2 linked regions of the Tamandua tetradactyla genome follow. The protein of the gene in region 1 binds, or shares a complex with, the protein of each later gene. Links are inferred from orthologs where the notes say so. Each region holds a gene or a part of one and is shown on either strand. Other genes may lie near its edges.

Evidence for each region.
Region 2: the proteins of ITGAM (region 1) and PTN are in contact, whole or in part, in an NMR structure (PDB 8VOH), measured with the Homo sapiens proteins. The link is inferred for Tamandua tetradactyla from reciprocal best matches to the Homo sapiens genes ITGAM and PTN. Residues at the interface, in NP_000623.2 of Homo sapiens: Pro273, Asp276, Arg277, Gly279, Val280, Ile281, Arg282, Tyr283, Lys306, Pro307, Arg309, Asp310, His311, Ala334, Ile335, Glu336, Gly337, Thr338, Gln339; in NP_001308315.1 of Homo sapiens: Val56, Pro57, Thr58, Ser59, Asp61, Cys62, Gly63, Leu64, Thr66, Glu68, Thr79, Lys81, Thr82, Gln83, Arg84.

The regions. Positions count from the first base shown.
Region 1 is NC_135349.1:23,267,045-23,275,916, forward strand, and holds the start of ITGAM (integrin alpha-M), read right to left. Parts: upstream 3,191-8,872; 5' UTR 3,122-3,190; coding exon 3,094-3,121; intron 1,937-3,093; coding exon 1,831-1,936; intron 1-1,830.
Region 2 is NC_135327.1:180,236,728-180,245,372, forward strand, and holds the start of PTN (pleiotrophin), read right to left. Parts: upstream 3,716-8,645; 5' UTR 3,409-3,715; intron 1-3,408.

The sequences.
Region 1 (8,872 bases):
CTTGCAAAAACAGCCAAAGCTCTTAGAAACCAATAAGTAAAACAAAACAATAGTTTAATAGAAAAATGAGCAGCAGATGAGAAAAAGTGTTCACAGAGAAGGAAACGCAATATATCACTCATAAAAAGAGAAATGCAATTTGAAACTAATTAGGATACCATTTCACACTTATCAAATTTGAAAAAGTCCATGATATTGATAACCCATTGGGCTACCAAATGGCTAGGGAAGTAGGTATTTTCATAAATTTCTGCTGTAAATGTAAGTTGAGGTCACCTCTATGGAAGCTAATCTGGAAAAATCTATTAAAATTATGTGCAATCTGCACGTGTACTCTTTGATCCAGCAATCCACTTCTAGGAATTTATTTCCAAATATACTTGCACATAAACAAGGCATAGTGACAGCTTTGTTTGTATAGCAAAGTTTGGAAATAATCTACATGCACAATAAGAAGAGATTTAATGTACTATAAATGTAAATCACAGTATCTCTATATAATAGAAACACAATGCAAGCATAAGAAAGAATGAGGTTCTTTATGTACTTATTTGGTAAAATCACCAAACTATATTAAGAAAGGGGGGCGGAAGCAAGGGACAGTATAAGCAGATGTCTGCAAACTTCTGTTAAGTTTAGATAGTAAATAATTTATACTTTACAGGACATACAGTCTCAGCTCAATAAAACTTACAACCAGACAGAGACCACAAGTTGTGGTTTGGCCAGTCTCTGGTATAAGGTGTAACGTGTGCTATACACAATGTGCTATACACAAGAAACCATTTATCTTGTGGTTCTTTCCTGGGAAGAGACTTGAATGAAAGGAATGAGGAAGAGACTTTTTACTGTTACACCTTTTTGTATCTTTTGAATTTAGAACCTACAACTTAAAATTCAAAAAATATTTTCATTGCTCAGATGTGGCTTCTCTCTCTCTTAGCCCAACTCTGCAAGGAAAATGATTACCCTCTCCGCTACTAGCACATGACATTCAGGGGTGAAAGTCTCCCTGACAACTTGGGGCGTGACACCCCGGGATGAGTCTGGCCCTGGCATCTTGGGATCGACAACCCCTTCCTGAACAAAACCAGTAAAATTGTAGTAAAACAAGGCATCAGTGGCTAAGAGAGATCAAATAGAGTCAAGAGGCTATTCTGGAGGCTGCTCCTATGCAAGCTTCAGTTAGATAATGCTAATTGCCATGGTTTGCTAAACCCCAACCAATATCACTCCCTTTAACTCTTAAGAACACCTAGGGCTCAAACTGAGTTTCTCTAATAGTTTCAGGCACTGTTTGCTTTTCTGGAACCTATAATTTCCAAAGGGTTCCAAGGTCAGATAAATCCCGAAACCCAGAGGGACCAGCCTCTCCAAGATTATCAGCTAATTACACCCCCCCTATTCTTTGGTGTCAATACCCTTTCTCAACATGAAAAAGTCAGAAGAGGCACTGCCTAAAGATCCCTATCGATTGAGAGAAGAATCAAAGGAGAAGGAGGAGCTATAACAGACAAAACAGGATTTAATAAACGAGTATGACTGTTGAATCACTCTATTAATACTCCTTCTAGCCTCCAGAGTTTTGGAGCCAGCTAGAAGGGAAAACCTGAAATAGTTGGAACGGACCCGTAACAAACTTTGAAATCTGTTCTGTTCTGTAGCTGCCTGTTGATGTCTACTTTGAAAATTATTGCCGTTTCTTTCTTTTCTTTGTGTATCTGTTATATTTCACAATAAAAATATATATCAAGGAAATTGTCTTTTTTTTTTTTTCAGGTATTTGGAGGGAACGCACAGGAGGCAGGAAACTCCACCTGAGGCTCTTACCGGGATCCCTCAAACTGGACCACGCTCTGCCCAAAGCCCCTTGCGTTGATTTGGAAGATCTTTGAGTTTTCAGTGTCCAGGTTGAACCCATGACACAAGGACAGGGCTGGAGGGAGAACAAGGGGGTGAGGGTCAGCGGGAGTAAAGGGAACAACAAAGCAAGCAGAGTCCCGTCCTGCTCCAAGCAACTTCCTCCTGGGTGCCCCCTACTCAAATGTCTTGCCTCCCAGGTCCAGCACTGATAACCTGAGACAGGGGTGACCACACATTTCCGTAAAGGCCCAGATAGCAGATATTTTAGGCTTTGATGGATAAGAGTCAAAATAGGGTATATTACATATATGTATATAACAAGAGAGAAAACCCATTGCCACAAAAATTTTAATTGAGGAAATTCAAAATATCATAATAATAATTTAGTATAATTTTTTGACCCTGAAGGTCTACTAATGAAACAAATAGAATTCTTTGGGGGGGATAACATTTTGCTTAATTGGGGTGCAAAGTTAGCATTCCCTATCATCAAATCAATTACCAATGTTCATCTTAAAAGCTGATATTAGCTCACAGATTGCACAAGGATAGTTTGCCAACCCCTGGCCTGAGGTCTACTTGGGTCATCATGAAGGGACACAATGAGCCGCTCTCTGCGCTTCACCCTCCTTGTTGAACTCACAAATCACCCTTTCTCACAGCGCCCCCACACCACTGATTTGCCCAACAATCAAGTTTCTATAAACGTTCTGTTGGGTAATTTCCTTCCTACATAACTCTCAAGAATTTCCTTCCCTCCTTCAGCTCATTCTCAGCAAAACAGGCTTAAAAGACAACAAATTCAAATCATTTTGATCTATCAGTCACTTAACAAACATTGACACCTGGAAAATAGGACTGGAGGCAAAGTAGGGATGGAAGGTGGAGTCCAAGAGGAAATGCTCTGGGAGAGGAGTCCCATACCAGCTGCGTGCACTTGGGCAAGTCACATCACCTCTCTGGGCTTCAGTTTCCTCATCCATAAAGTGAAGGAAACCATCAAACCTCCTTGCCCAGGCTACAGATTTAGTCATTTGTCCATGCTCTTCTCTGGACAGCTCATCTTGAACTAGCAGCACTCTGCTTCTTAAACCCTTTATCTTTCCCCAAGTTCCATTTGTTCCCACCCCCAGTCTAACCCCTAGATATTCTGTGCCCTCTATCTCCACTCACAGACCCAAAAGTCAACTTCCTCCCCACCCTAAGAGCCTCCTCAGCCCCCTCAGGCACCTGTCAACAGTAGAACTCTTCGAGTCATGGCTGGAAGGAGCAGGAACCGCTGAGCTTGGGTACCACTGAGCTATCTCAAGGAAGTCACCAAAGCCAGGAAGGGTGGAAAGTGAGAAGTAGAAGGCAGAAGTTTGATTAGAGACCCAAAGGAAGAGGGCGGGACTCAGTGAACACACAGCCCTGCTTGACCTTCCTCCTGGGACTGTGCGCAGCCTTCTCCCTTCCTGCCCAGCTTCCTGGCTGAAACCATCAAAATCCCTATCAAGAAGGTGTCATGTGTTGCCCACCTACTTCTGACATTGGCCAAAGCATTGTGAAAAGCAAGCTGGATGGACTTGGAGGATGCCTCCTGGAACATATGTTCTAAACAATCCAAGCAAACTTTGTAACATGTCCCTCCTCTAGCCCACAGAAGCACCGGCATCCTTCAGCCAGAATTGTCTTCCTCTGTAGCCATCAACAAGGACAATTCAGGAGCAGAAAAATCCAGTGCCCAAAAAACCAAACCAAAAAAACCCAGTGCCTTTTGGATATTTTGCTTTAAGAAAGAAAAAGCTTTAAAATGCTGAAACCCTTTGCCCAAGAATTTTCCCCTTCAAGTTTTTACCCCAAGGAATAACTCAGAAGTGCAGTCCAAGATATATGTACAAACTTGGGTGCAGCAGCATTGTTTATTACAGTGAGAAACTACTAACAGCCTAAATATCCAGCAACAGGGGAGTGGTTAAATAATGTCCCACTCTGTTGGGAGTCCCATTCCATGGAGTGCAGTCACTTGTAAATCTGTTTTCAAAGACATGGAAAGATACTTGCAATATGAAATTCTATGAAATATATAGAACACCAAACCATATCTTGTGTATGACCATATGTGATTCTCAAGCAGATAACTTCTCTATTCTTTCTCTCATAACTTTTCCTTTGTCCCTAGTTCTATTTTCCCAATATTCAAATAGAAACAAATGTTTGCTGATGGAAAAAAATAAAAGCCCATAAAAATTCTGTGTGTTATGGATAAATAAAACATGGTGTATATATATATATACAATGGAATATTATACAGCTGTAAAGAGGAATGAAGTCCTGATACATGTGAAAGCATAGCTGAACCTTGACGACATCATGTGAAATGAAATAAGCCAGATACAAAGGATAAATAGTGTATGATCTCACTGAGCTGAAACAATTAGAATAAGTAAACTTAAAGAGTCAGAATCTAGGATTTAGGTTACCAGGGGACAGGGTGGGAAAAGGTAATGGGAAGTTATGGCTTAAAATGTACAGGGTTCCTATTTGGAATGATGGAAATGTTTAGGTGATGGTAGCACAACATTGTTGTCATATATACAATCTAACATTTTCCCAAGGGAAATATAACAACAGAATTTTTAAAAAATTTTAAGATCCATGGAACTACACTACACAAATACGGAACCGTAAGTTAATAGGGTTAATAGACTTTAATTAATAGTACAATTATACAAATGCGCTGTCCTCAATTGTAACGAATGTTTCACAGTAATGCAAGGTGGTTGTGGGGGGTTTGGGAAACCTGTATTTTACGCATGATTGTCTGTAAACAGTTAAAAAAAAATCTGTGCATCTGTTTTAAAATCAGCTGTTTGAAAACCAAAATGCTAACAGTGGTTATCTGCAGATGACAGAGCCACAGGTGTGCTCCAGTTATCTTTTGCAGCATAGCAAATGACCCCAACATTTACTGGCCTCATACAGCAATTTAATATTATATTGTCTAGGTCTGTCTGTTGGCTGACCTTGCCAGGCAGTTCTCATTGAAAGTCAAAGGATTTGTGGCCATCTCCAATCTGCCGCGGGATGATTTTAATTTTCTTCTGTATTTTTTTTTACTTAAAACTTTTAAATCACAACAAAAAATGAATGACTTTTCTAATCTGAAGAAAAAGAAAACCTACCAGGAAACCATTTAAAACAACAAAATATCTATTTGTATTAAAAGGTAAAAGGGCTGAGGATACAGGAACATTCTAGATCCACTAGAAAATACACACCAAAGTGTGGTGCTACGTAGTCTAAGAGATAAGCACGGTTGGTTTTGGCAAAAGCTTTCACGCTCTGACCACCACAGGGGCGGCTCTAGCTCAGCACTGGCAGGCCCTCTCTATTCCAAGCAGGGCCCACCCTCTGTAAGGTACAGGCAAAGTCTCAGAATAACTCCAGCCCGCAGATTCTTTCTCAACGACCCCCCAGTGGGTGTGCATGTGACCAGAGACCATGGTGGGCACCCGACCAGGCCAGCCCACCTACACACCGATACTCATTCTCTCCTTCCTGGCCCCCACTCCACTCCTGATATCATCTTTAGCTTGGATTCGCCTATAAGTGGATCCTGAGACAAGGTTTTGAATGCAAGCAATTTATTTAGGAGGTGATCCAGGAAATACTGGTGGGAAAGGGAAAAGGGAAGGAGGCCATAAAAAGTGGGTTATGAAACAAGTTATCTGCGTGGGCAACTGAAACTCAATTCACTGAGGAATTCTGGCAGCCAGCGTAGAGCAAGTCTGAGAGTTATCCCACCTGAGAAGCACGGGAACTAGATTTTTATTCACAACTTGCATCAGCTATTGGTTGAAGGCTGCTCTCTAGGGAAGCCCTGATTTTCTGGCATTGCCAGCCAGAGGAGGCTCCAGCCGGAAAGTTCTCAGGTAAGCAGTTGCAGGTAATAGCAGCTGGAAATCTGGCCAGCTTGCACAAGAATGTTAAATGCTGATGGGATATGGGTGCAACCACTACAGCATCTGTTACAGATCCTTGATATTTGTTCATAGCACTTATTATTACCTGAAATTATGCTATATTATACAAATATATAAAATATTTATATAAATAATATATAAAATATACATAATATATAATTATATTATATATGAATTTAGTTGTCTATTGTCTGATTCCCCTACTAGAGTTCATAAGCTCCATGACTGCAGAAATTTTTTTCTGTCTTGCTCACTCCTCTATCTCCAGTGCACAGAACAGTGCCTGGTTTATAATGAAAATTAACTGAATGAATGAGGTAACATGAAATGGGAAGATAAGTTGGAACCACTCAAATTCCCTGGGAATTTGGACTAAGAACTAAGACCTACTGAGAAGAATTTCCAGTTAGCAGTGGGAGCTGAGGCTGAAACATCAGGTTGTAGATCTGAGTTTGGAGAAGGCTTGCATAAAATGAAGTTATAAATAAGCAGAAGAAGCTGATCATTAGTAAGAGAAGATCAGAGTTAACTTGCAGAAAGTGATAAGATATGCTGAGTGAGGGACCATATGGAAATTGCTTCAAGAGAAAGAACTGTTCTGACCCCTTTCATTGCTTTCTCAAGAGAAAACAGGATGGGAAGGAATAACATCCAAGCATAACTCTGTTTCATCCTAGAGGGGGATTCAGTGGACAAAAAGGTCATTATTTGCCGAGGGTATGATCAACTATTGTGAAAATCCAAGGTCGTTAACTGACAACTTGTTAGAACTAATCTTGTTCAGTGAGATCAATATATAAAAATCTAATTCATTTCTTATTTGCCATTCTTATTTCTGATCTAGTCAGAAAATATAATAGGAAAGACACCATTTGTAGCACCAAAAATACTACAAAATATTTAGGCATGAATCTAGCAAGCAATATGGAAGAACTCTATTTTTAAAAACTTGGATTTTCCTGAAAGGCATAAAAGAATAGAGAGGTAGGCCACATTCACAGATGACATGACAATATAATAAAGATGTCAGTTCTCCCTCCAATTATTCAGTGTGATCTCAAAGGAATGGGGTTGGCTGGGTCTCCCTCAACTCCTGCTGCCCCAATATCACCCAGAATCATAGCTCCTCTCTTTCTCAGTACAATCTCCCATACCCACCCCTGAAAATCTCTCTCCCTTGGTTACACAGACAATTAAGCTCTGTCTAAACTCCACCAATTTGCTTAACCAACTACATTCATCGGAACTGGCCACACAGGAGCCACCCTCCTGAGAAGTTTCTGGGAAGCACAAATAAAATATTCATTTCCGTTGCACCAGGTTGTCAAGAAAACCTTCACTTGACTGTCATCTACAACAAACCGGCTAAGTCTTTGAGGTCTGGGGTCAGACTAAGAGTTCAAAATGCTGGTTTTATAAATGTGTGAATTTGGACCTCATAGCTACTCTATGAACCCCTTAGTCCTCATCTGAGAAATTCAGGTAATAATAGTATTCATCTCTTGGGGTTGTTGTGACAACTCAATTAGATAATAGATGTCAAAGCGTATTTGCAATAATTTTTCTACTTACTGTGCCTTAAGTTGACCAATGTTGTGGTTAACACAGTCCAGTGAAACATAAAAAGTTTGTCGACCTCAAAGTTGCCTCACTGTTACTCAGTTAGAAATCTGTTCCACCCTCCTTCCTCAGTTGTCCAAGCAGGGGTTCAAATATAGGCGGGTGAGAGAAACCGCCCTACCAGAGTCATGGGTATTCTTACCAAGATCACATTCAAGACCAGCAGCTGTTTGCAGGGCAGGGACAGCTATGCCCCTGAAATAGTTCTTCTTACTTCACCCCTCAAAAGCAGAAGTAGCTCAGGGCCTGACCCAGTGAGGACCAGGGAGAAAACTACTCACTCCTAGAGTAAGACAGGAAGGAAGTTGCACTGGTTGGGTGGAGGAGAACCATGAACTTTTTTATGGGGATGCTTTTGCTTCTAGGGGTGGAGGCAAATGTCAAAGGACAGCAATCTCTCTTCAACTCTATGGGACGGGTCATTTCTGGAAAGTGGGTCAGGTACATCCTAAGGTATCTGATCCCACTGAACCTGAGAGAGGTTGAGTCAGGCCTAGGAAGTTAGTGTAATTGTGCATTCTTCTCCCAGTTGTATTGACTATACAAACAGTATTATGACAATATTAAAGAAAATACAACACACAGTCCAACCACCATAACTTATCAGCTTTTCTGAACTCCCCCCCAGGTTTCAGCCCTGTACTGATATCATTTATCAATTTGTCATGATGGGGTAGGTTTCATTCTGCATCATTTTAGTATAACATTGTAGCATAGAGATTTTCATATAGCTTCATTTTAATGGGTATGTAGTATTCCATTAAGTAAAGAGATTTAAGTGGTTTACTATGTTAGGCAATATTACACTGAATAATTCTCTACATACAGCATTTTTGCTTTTTTGGAGTTCTTTCCTCCAGATACTATTTTTTTAAGATGAAATGACAAGGGCAAATTAGATGTGCATTTTGGAACTTCCCATACTCATTGCCCAGTGACTCTCTAAGTGGGTTGCAGGACATATATCCAATTTTTAAATCAACTTTTGTAGCACGCACTAAAGTTTCAAACCATTTCATATATTCCATATGAACCACGCAGGCAGATTGGTTGATTTCTACCTCTTGGGGCAGATCCTTTAGCAGGTAACCCCAAACCCTCTCCTGCGTCCCTCTCCAATAAAGACTGGAAAAGCTCGATACCCCTTTCCCACCCTGCCTTGCAGCTAGGCGTGGCCATGTGACCAGTTCTGGCCAATGAGATATAAAGGAGAGCCTGGGGAGGCTTCTGGGAAAGCACTGACTTCCAGACAGACAAAGGGACCTACAGGTCTCCTCCCTACCCTTCTTACCTAGAATGAGGAAGAAAAACCAGGAGAGTCAACAAACTAAATTATCAAGTAGCAGAGGTAAGAGGAAGGGAAGGGAGGTGATTCACAGAGAGGAGCACTGATACCATTAGGGGCACCCCACCTCTGAGGAAGG
Region 2 (8,645 bases), on another chromosome or scaffold:
CATCAGTTGCTATGACTCACTTCTTTCAAGATTAATATAATCTAGGAATGAATTTTATTTTTGCTATATTTGGAGTTTAGGAATCGAAGTAATTTGCTTTTAGGAAATTCGTTATGATAGTCTTTATTTGAAATACCACTTTATCTAAAACCTCTGTGAAAAAAGTGGCTCAAAAAATAAAGCTCAGTGGAAGAAACTGAAAAAAAAAAAAGAAGAAGTGAATGTGATCTTTGTAATCAGACCCACATTATTAACACAATTATAATACCCTGTAATGATGGCTTAGTGCCGCTACCCTTTGAAACCAGAGGGCCTTTAACTTCTTAGTTACTAAATACTAAAAAAAAAAGCTGTATTTTATAACCTAGGAAGATTGTGATGATACCATGGAAACTGTACCACATATAGAACTATCATTAAATAGATGGAAAAATGGCCCAGAGGGTAGAAACTTGAATTAACCATAAACATCAAAATATGAGAATAACTCTCAAAGGTGATGCCATAGCCCAAACTCTCATCAAGCCCATTGACTGTGGATGGAATAAAAGTCGGCCCAGTTCAAGAAAAGAAGGCCTGTATCTGAATATTATTTTACCCTTAAAGGCAATTACATGGCATTGTGCCAAGAGGAGACAAAAGCACTTCTAATTAATCATGAGAATAGCATCCAGAGGAGAAAACATTTCTCACCCTTATAGAGAAGGCATCACCATCAAAACAATGGAGCCAAAGTATTCAGAGAACTGAAACCCTGGTCTGGTGATCTGGAGCCAACCAGAGTTTAAACTGGGTTGAAGTGTGCTCTGGCGATCTAGAAACCGAACCCATTTAGTCTTAGATCACTGAAAGTGTCCTCAACTTGGACATTATCTTCAGGACATAGGGCAATGATAACTCCCCTTATTCCCATGCCACCAAGTTAAGAAGCATAAGTTTATAGAGAACTGGAATTTATATTCTAAATTCTGAATTCTGGTCCTCAATCTACCATTAATTTATTGCACCCATTTGAACAAACTGGCTAACTTCCGTTTCCTGGGAAAATCTGAGTAGTAATGAAAGCATCACACCACAAATCAGACTATGACCAGAATTCATGTGAGAATGACATTTAAATGAAAAAGCAGTAGATTCGCCAAAGAGAGAATATTTAATTACAATATTTAATTTCTAAAGTTGATTTGATTCTTGGAAATGGTTAAAATATTTGGGGACCTTATTTCGTTTTTAGACCATTTCCAATGATCAGGTTTTCTGAAAATTCAAATCAGGCACTGGCATTACTAGAGTTAATATATACATATATATATATTTTTAAGTGTCCATAATTTGCAAGAGTCCTGCTACATGTTGCTACATGTGAAGATGGAATAAGGTACATGAAAACTTTCAGTAAATTAATAGATCCAAATCTCCTGGGAAGAGGTCTAAGTAATCACACAATTACATTTTAGATTGTACTATAAAATGTATATATTTATATACATTTATTATATTATCCAGATTGTCTAAGTACATCACATTAAATTCAGCTCATAGAAGTCATATGATAACAATAATTTCATTTCCTACTACTGAGAAAATAATGCGTTTGTTTCCCCAAGCAAACAGCTGGAACACAGTACCTAATGCCGTTACAAATGGCTTTAAGTGGGTATCCCTCATAGAAGCCTTCCACTAAATCAGGAAAAGAAAGTGCTAAATGGGATCTGTGAACAGTGGAAAAGGAAAAAATTGCCTTCCAAATGGTTAAAGAACAGCAAGATATCTCTTCAAGTACAAAAATTCTCAAAAGAATAGCATTAGTTGCTTAATCTTAAAAAAATTATCATCTTATTTAACTGAGAAAGTACAAATATTGCTATTCTGAGATAACTCATGCCAAAGGGAGAGGGAAAAGAGATCATGTCCACTCTATTTTCCTTCAAACTAACAGGATTGTGAGTGTTTTTAATGATTTGGTCTTTAAAGGGCATAATTTGCTTTAGAAGGAGCATACTAAAGATGAAATATAAAAGCTTCATTATCCACATTGTGAAACTTCTCTTTTGTTTCACTCCATTTGCCTTTTAATACTTACACATATCAACATGTCCTCAGATGATCAAGGGACAAAAATTGGTTGTACTATTTCGTCAAGTCCACATTTGCCTAGGATCACAAAACTGGTTCATTATGTTATTAGTTCAAAAGAGCTCCTTGGTAGTTTCTTGATCTCCTCCCTACCCTACCCTCCAGCACACACACACACACGCATGCGTGTGCAACCATGCACATGCACACGCATACACTCCACATCTTTCTTAAGCTCCTTAAGCAAAATGTCTAGATGACCCTTAAAATGAAATGCTGAAAGGCTAGAATTTTGTTTCCCTCAAATTCTTCATTCTCCTCTCCCACTTCTCTTCCTGATTCCACTCCTATATTCTCAAGATATCCTCAAAGTTACAAAGAAGCTGTTAACAGAGATAGGAGTGAATGAACAAAAGAATGTATATAAACTCTGTGTGTGTGTGTGTGTGTGTGTGCGTGTGTGTGTGTGTGGTGTGTTAAGGAGAAAGCATGTGAGCACGTTAAGGAAAGAAAGCTCTGTATTCGATGTGTTCAGTAGAGAAGACGTTGAACACACTCCTCTATTTTAAGTAATTTTGGCTTATTAGAAGCATCATCTCTGATAGAAGCTGTAAGTATCTGGCAAATTAGGAATAAATGTATCCTAGGTCCATGTGGGTGAAATAGAAAGTTCAAGTGTCTGTGCCCTGCAGTTATTAAAGTTAACATTGAAATGAGGGATGGGATTCAAGGTGGCTCATTTAAACCTAGGACTTACCTATTCCTAGCACCCTTTCTGGGCTGGCAGGCAGGGCGCACAGTGCTCAGTTCAGCTGGCACTGGGAGGTCCTCACACCCTACCTAGAAATGCCAGCTAAGAATCATCAGTTGGCAAGCCCCAGGGGCAATCAGAAGCAGAAAAGAATGAAAAATGAGACCCGCCTGCTCAGGCCGCCTCTCTTCTCTATCCAGCCACAGACACACCTACTAAAGCATTAGGTTTTGCAAAGAGCCAAAAAGCATTCCTCCAACCCACCCTGGCATATTCTACAGCTGCTAGCAGAAACACCGCCCAAATGAATGCAAAACATTACAAAAGCTTCTTTCTTGCCACTCATCTAAATGTACCCTAACTATCCTGACCTAAATCCCCCAAATTTGCTTTAATTTGCCTGTGCATCCGGTTCAGTTTAGAAAGCAATTTTAGCAAAGACACCAGGTAGCCCCTCTCCCATCTACCACCATAATCTGGCGACGCTCAGAAAAGTGGGCAGGGGTGAAGAGAAAATGAACTCCAAGACGCCACAAAAAAAAAAAAAAAAAAAAAAAAATCGCACATTCCCTTTCACTTACTTTGAGTTGCAAATGTTCTCTCCCGCGCTCAGGCTGCCTTTGTTGGAAGGGGCGAGGTTTTCCGCTCCCGGAGTCCAGGTACGGGACTCGCTGCTGCTCCCGCCGGCTGCTGCTGCCTTCGCTCGCTGCTGGACTACTGACTCACTGGTCTCTCTCTTTTTCTTTTCTCCTCTCCCCACTTTGGATTTTCCTCCGTTCTGGAACTCCCTTGGCGGGATTTTTGGACTGGAAGGCGGGGAACCTGATCCTGCCTTGGACTCAAGTACTCCCTGACAGGGAGTGAACGGAAAGGAAATGGAGAATGGGAGGGATGAGAGGGACGGGCAGAGATTACGCGGGCCGGGCTAGGGAGGGAGAGCGCGGTTGAGAGCTGATTGGGAGTTTATTAAAAGGAGAATACTCCAGGGGCCGTCTCTCCCCTACACGAGCAAGAAAGCGGATTTGAAGGAATAGGTGATGAGATGTAACATTGTTTTGTTTTGTTTTTGTTAGCAAAGAAAATGCACCCCGTATTTCTTTTCTAAACTTCAAGCATTAGCTATTTTTTTTGGAGGAGTAGATACCCCAGTTTACAGAGTAGGCTGTCTTGAGTATAAAATCGATGGCATTTCAAGTTACAATATTGGCCCCTTTAGAAGCAAATGATTTGGAGGATGAAAATGCGCACTCTTAAAATCCTGGCTTTTCATTTCTGCAGATTCCCTTCCTACACGTGTAACAAGTCCTAGTTTCCTCGAATGTCAGTCCCATTACATGTTCACTCACCTGCATGTCACAAAATGTGCAAGGTACTTTTCTGTGCTTGTCACAAAGAATGGCAGATGCCTGAAAATTCCCAATTAAGTGTCACTTTCCTTTAGGGGACTCTTTCTCCTTTTGAATTGCTTGGTACCTTTACTGACCTATTTAGGGACATGCCTTTGACACCCAGACATTAGGGATTAATCAATGTAACTCAAACTCTGTGGTTTGTCTAACTCAGAGCCTGGGTTTCATGGCTCTCTGGAATTCCCATCTCCTTCAGTTAAAGGAAGATTCTAAGGTGATTAATCTAGAATTGTTTTAGTGATACAAAAAATGAATGTGATAAAAATGAGATATTGTGTAAAATGCTTAAGAATTATAAAACAAATTTACACAAACATTCTCAAAATATAAAAAGGGCAATTTTTCTTCCATTCATCAGTTGTTGCTTCCTGCTTCTTGCATCACATTTTCACATCCTTCAGTTTACCGTTTGATGGTGTACACCCCAAATGCAGTTGTAAAATATCCTTCCATTTCCCATAGATCAGAGATTACATCTCCTTAAGTCAATTTCAAAAATATGTATTATGTACCTCATTTAACTCTTAAACACTTAGAATCATTCTTAAACCCCCCAAATTTGAAGAATTGTTTTGTAGCAAGTAGTTTTTAGGGACTCCTGAGCCTTTATATTGACTGGTTATCTGGATGAGTGCCTCATAGAGTAGCTGTCTGGGTAGAATTTTTAATAAGTAAATAAGTGAAGCTTTTTTTTGTCTTTTTAAGAGAAGGATAAGCAATTCATTTGCACGCCTCCAGTCTATCTCCATAACCAACTTCTCCAAATATACTCTTGTGATTGTTAACGTCAAATGTCAACGTGTCTGGGTCATGGTATCCAGTTGTTTTGTCAAGCAAGCACTGGCCTGATTGTTGTTGTGACGGTATTTGATAGATGAGTTAGCATCTGTTGTCAGTTAATTGCATCTAACTCTGACTGCATCTACAAGCAACAAAAGAGATAACTTTCAGCAACAAGGGAGGCTCCTCATCCAATCAGTTGAAGGTCTTAAAAGCCAGAACTGAGATTTCAGAAGTTAAAAGGAATGTCTACCTCTACTTCAACCAGCTAGCTTCCTCTAGGGAATTCAGTTTCACATTCATTGGAGTTTCCAACTTGCATCTTGACCTGCAAAATACAGACTTGCTAATCTCTATAGTTGCATGACCAATTCCTATGATAAACTTATTCTGCTTCTCTGGAGAACCTTAATACAGCCCACCCTATCTTCAAATGAAATAAATAAGGAACTAACTGCTTTCCTCTATACACAGTTTTCAGGTTGCCTATTTTCCTTTTGTGATTCCATTTTCCTGATGAAGCAAGCAATGCTTGCTTTAATGTAATTTCATTAAATTAAATTGTGGAAGAATCACATTGTTATTTTTTAATACTTTTTCCAGGTCCTTCCTTAAAAGGACTTCTCAACATTTCCTGTCAGTCCCTAGAGGTGGAGTTTCCAGGCCATTAAACAGAGGGTTGTCTATTTCCTTTTACTTCTTAAACTTTTTCTGAGCATCTACAAAGATAACCTGTTGCTACCAGGTGAACAATGTTAGCTTTATTGTGGTGTTCCCTATAGGGCTGATAAAGTAAGTATGAGATTCCCAAAGCCTTCTGCTCAATTATATGTATTCTATCAAAATATACCTCTATTCAAATAGGTATCATAAAATTTATTTACATCATTGATTTTCACTTGGTATGTTTGCCCTCCAGGAGACATTTGGCAAAGGTTGGAGACATTTTTGATTGTCACAGCTGCAACTTGGTGGGGAGGTGCTACTAGTATGCACAGGCTAGAGGTGCTACCAAATATCCTACAAGTAACAGAGAATTATTTGACCCAAGATATTAATAGGGTTGAGATTGAGAAACCCTAACTAATGTTATTAATCACTGAATTTTAAAAATGTAAAGAAAGATTCAAGAGTTGTTTTTTGAAAGAAATAGAAATCTGTAAAATTGAGATTAATACTAATTTCATTCAATCCATGGTTTATGGAGAATTTAAGTAGAGCATTAATTTAAATGCCCTCTGAATGTTCAATCTCAAATCCACACTTCATTCTATTCCATAGTCACGGCTCTTTTGTTTTAAGATTTCAAGTTGTTCAGTCATTTCACCAACATTCTTTGAGCACTTATTACATTTTTGTGCATTGGTAAGACTCATGAATAAAAAAAACTAAAAAATTACTTGTTTCATATAACTTACTTTTTTTCATTGTTTTCTTTATTAGAGAAGTTGTGGGTTTACAGAACAATTGTGGATAAAATATAGAATTTCCATATACTGTACCATCACCAACACCTTGCATCAGTGTGGAACATTTGTTACAATTAATGATAGCACATTTTTATAATTGTACTACTAAATAAAGTCCATGGGTTAACTTGTGTAGTGTAGTTCCATGTTTGTTTGTTTTTATAATTCTGTTACCATATGTACATTCTAACATTTCTCCTTTAAATAATATTCAGATATATATTTTAGTGTTGTTAGTTGTCTTCACAATATTGTGCTACCATCACCACCATCTGTTACTAAAATATTTCCATCATTCCAAATAGGAACCACGTATATTTTAAGTCCTGGCTTCTCATTCCCTATTCCCACCTTGTCTCCTGGTAACCTACAGTCTATGAGTTTGCTTATTTTGTTTCAAATCAACGAGACCATACAATATTTGTCCTTTTGTGTCTGCCTTATTTCACTCAACATGATGTCTTTAAGGTTTATCTTTGTAGTGTACATTAAAGATGTGATATGCTTCACGGAAAAAATAAGATACTGAAGATTAAATAAGAATTAAATAAAAATGCAGATTTGGGGGAGGAAAGACTCCCTGGGGTGAAATTGGAGTGAAGGCTTACAAAAGTTGAGGTGACAAGCCAAGCAAGTATTTGGGAGAAGAGTCTCTAGACTGCAGGATCAGTGAATGTAAAGGCCTTGAGTCCAGACCTTGCCTGGTGTCTTAGAGAAACTGTAAGGAGACCATTGTAGCTGGAATCCAATGGCTGAGGAGGAGTTTGGGAGAAGGTGAGGTTGGGGAGTTGACAGACCAGATCATGCTCAGCCTTTGGCCACTGTAAGAAATATACATTTTTTCTGATTGAAATGGGGGCTTTGGGTAGAGGATTAAAAAAGCCTGACTCCATTTCACAAAGTCTCTGATGTGTTGAGAGTAGAGCACATGAGGTCAAGGGTGAAAGCACAGATCCTAGCTGGGAGACTGTTGCAATCATGCCTTGTCCAAATATCTTCCCCTTGTTCCTATAGTTTACCCGTTAACATTTTCTCTGTCCCCAAAATTTCCTGTCAGAAGTTATTTTGGCTTCCTAATGCTTGGTCTTTCCAGGTACAATTAATGAGGCCCTTGCATAAGAGTTTCCAGACTAAAATATAACTAATATAAGATGATTCAAAATCATAGAAATTATAACATGTCCTAAGGCTGTGTTGAAAATGAGGCTGCTAATTTTACGGTGACAAATACAAGGAGAAGTGTGATCAGCATGAAGTTAAAAAAATGTTAAGAAACATGTTGAAAAATTTGTCATTGTGTCTCTTGGATTGCCTGCTTGGCAGAAAATTCAGATTCTTGATTATCGCTCTGGGTTCTTCAATATCCCTAGAATGCAAAAGGGCAATTCATCAAGCTATCATAGTTTGATAATATTCTCATTAATTCATTTCTCTTTCTCTCCCTGAAATATTTCAAATTTAATAACTTTGCTGTGACCAGATTATAAAACCTACTTCTCTCTTAGCTATATTTTTGTAATATGTATGCTGTTTTTTGATTGGAAATAAAAAAACAACTAAAACTAGTTTAAATAAGTCAGGAATTTATCTCACTTAAAATATAGGTGGATGAAGTCTGTATTTCAGTCTTCAAGGACGTAGGTCTTTCCATCTTTTAACTTTGCATTTCAGTTTTTGATCTAGGACTCCTTGGGATGGTTACAAGAAACTTCAGGCATATTCGATTACAGTAAACAAGGCCAAACTCTAGTAGAGTATAGGTTTGCTTCCCTAGTCAGGTAGCCAAATAAAATTATACTAGAAAAAGGAAGAGGTGGAAAGGATCTGGGAAACAATGAACAATGCCTGCTAAAATTTCTCCCTGTAATTTAATACATTTGCAGTTCATCAGTCTCTGAATAATCTAAGTAACTTGATTTAAGCTCCTTAAACTTGCCTTCCAGTAAAGAACTGATAAGATCAATGTTCTAAATTGGCAGAGCTGAGAAACAGACCTTAGACAATGGTTTCACCCAGGCTCACTCATCCCAGATAATCAGACTTGAAATATCCTTGGTCAGAGATCACAAGGAAACAAAACTACAGATCCTCAGGGACATGGATGCCAAAGTCCTTAACAAATATTATCAAACAAAATCAGCAATTTAGAAAGAACATAAT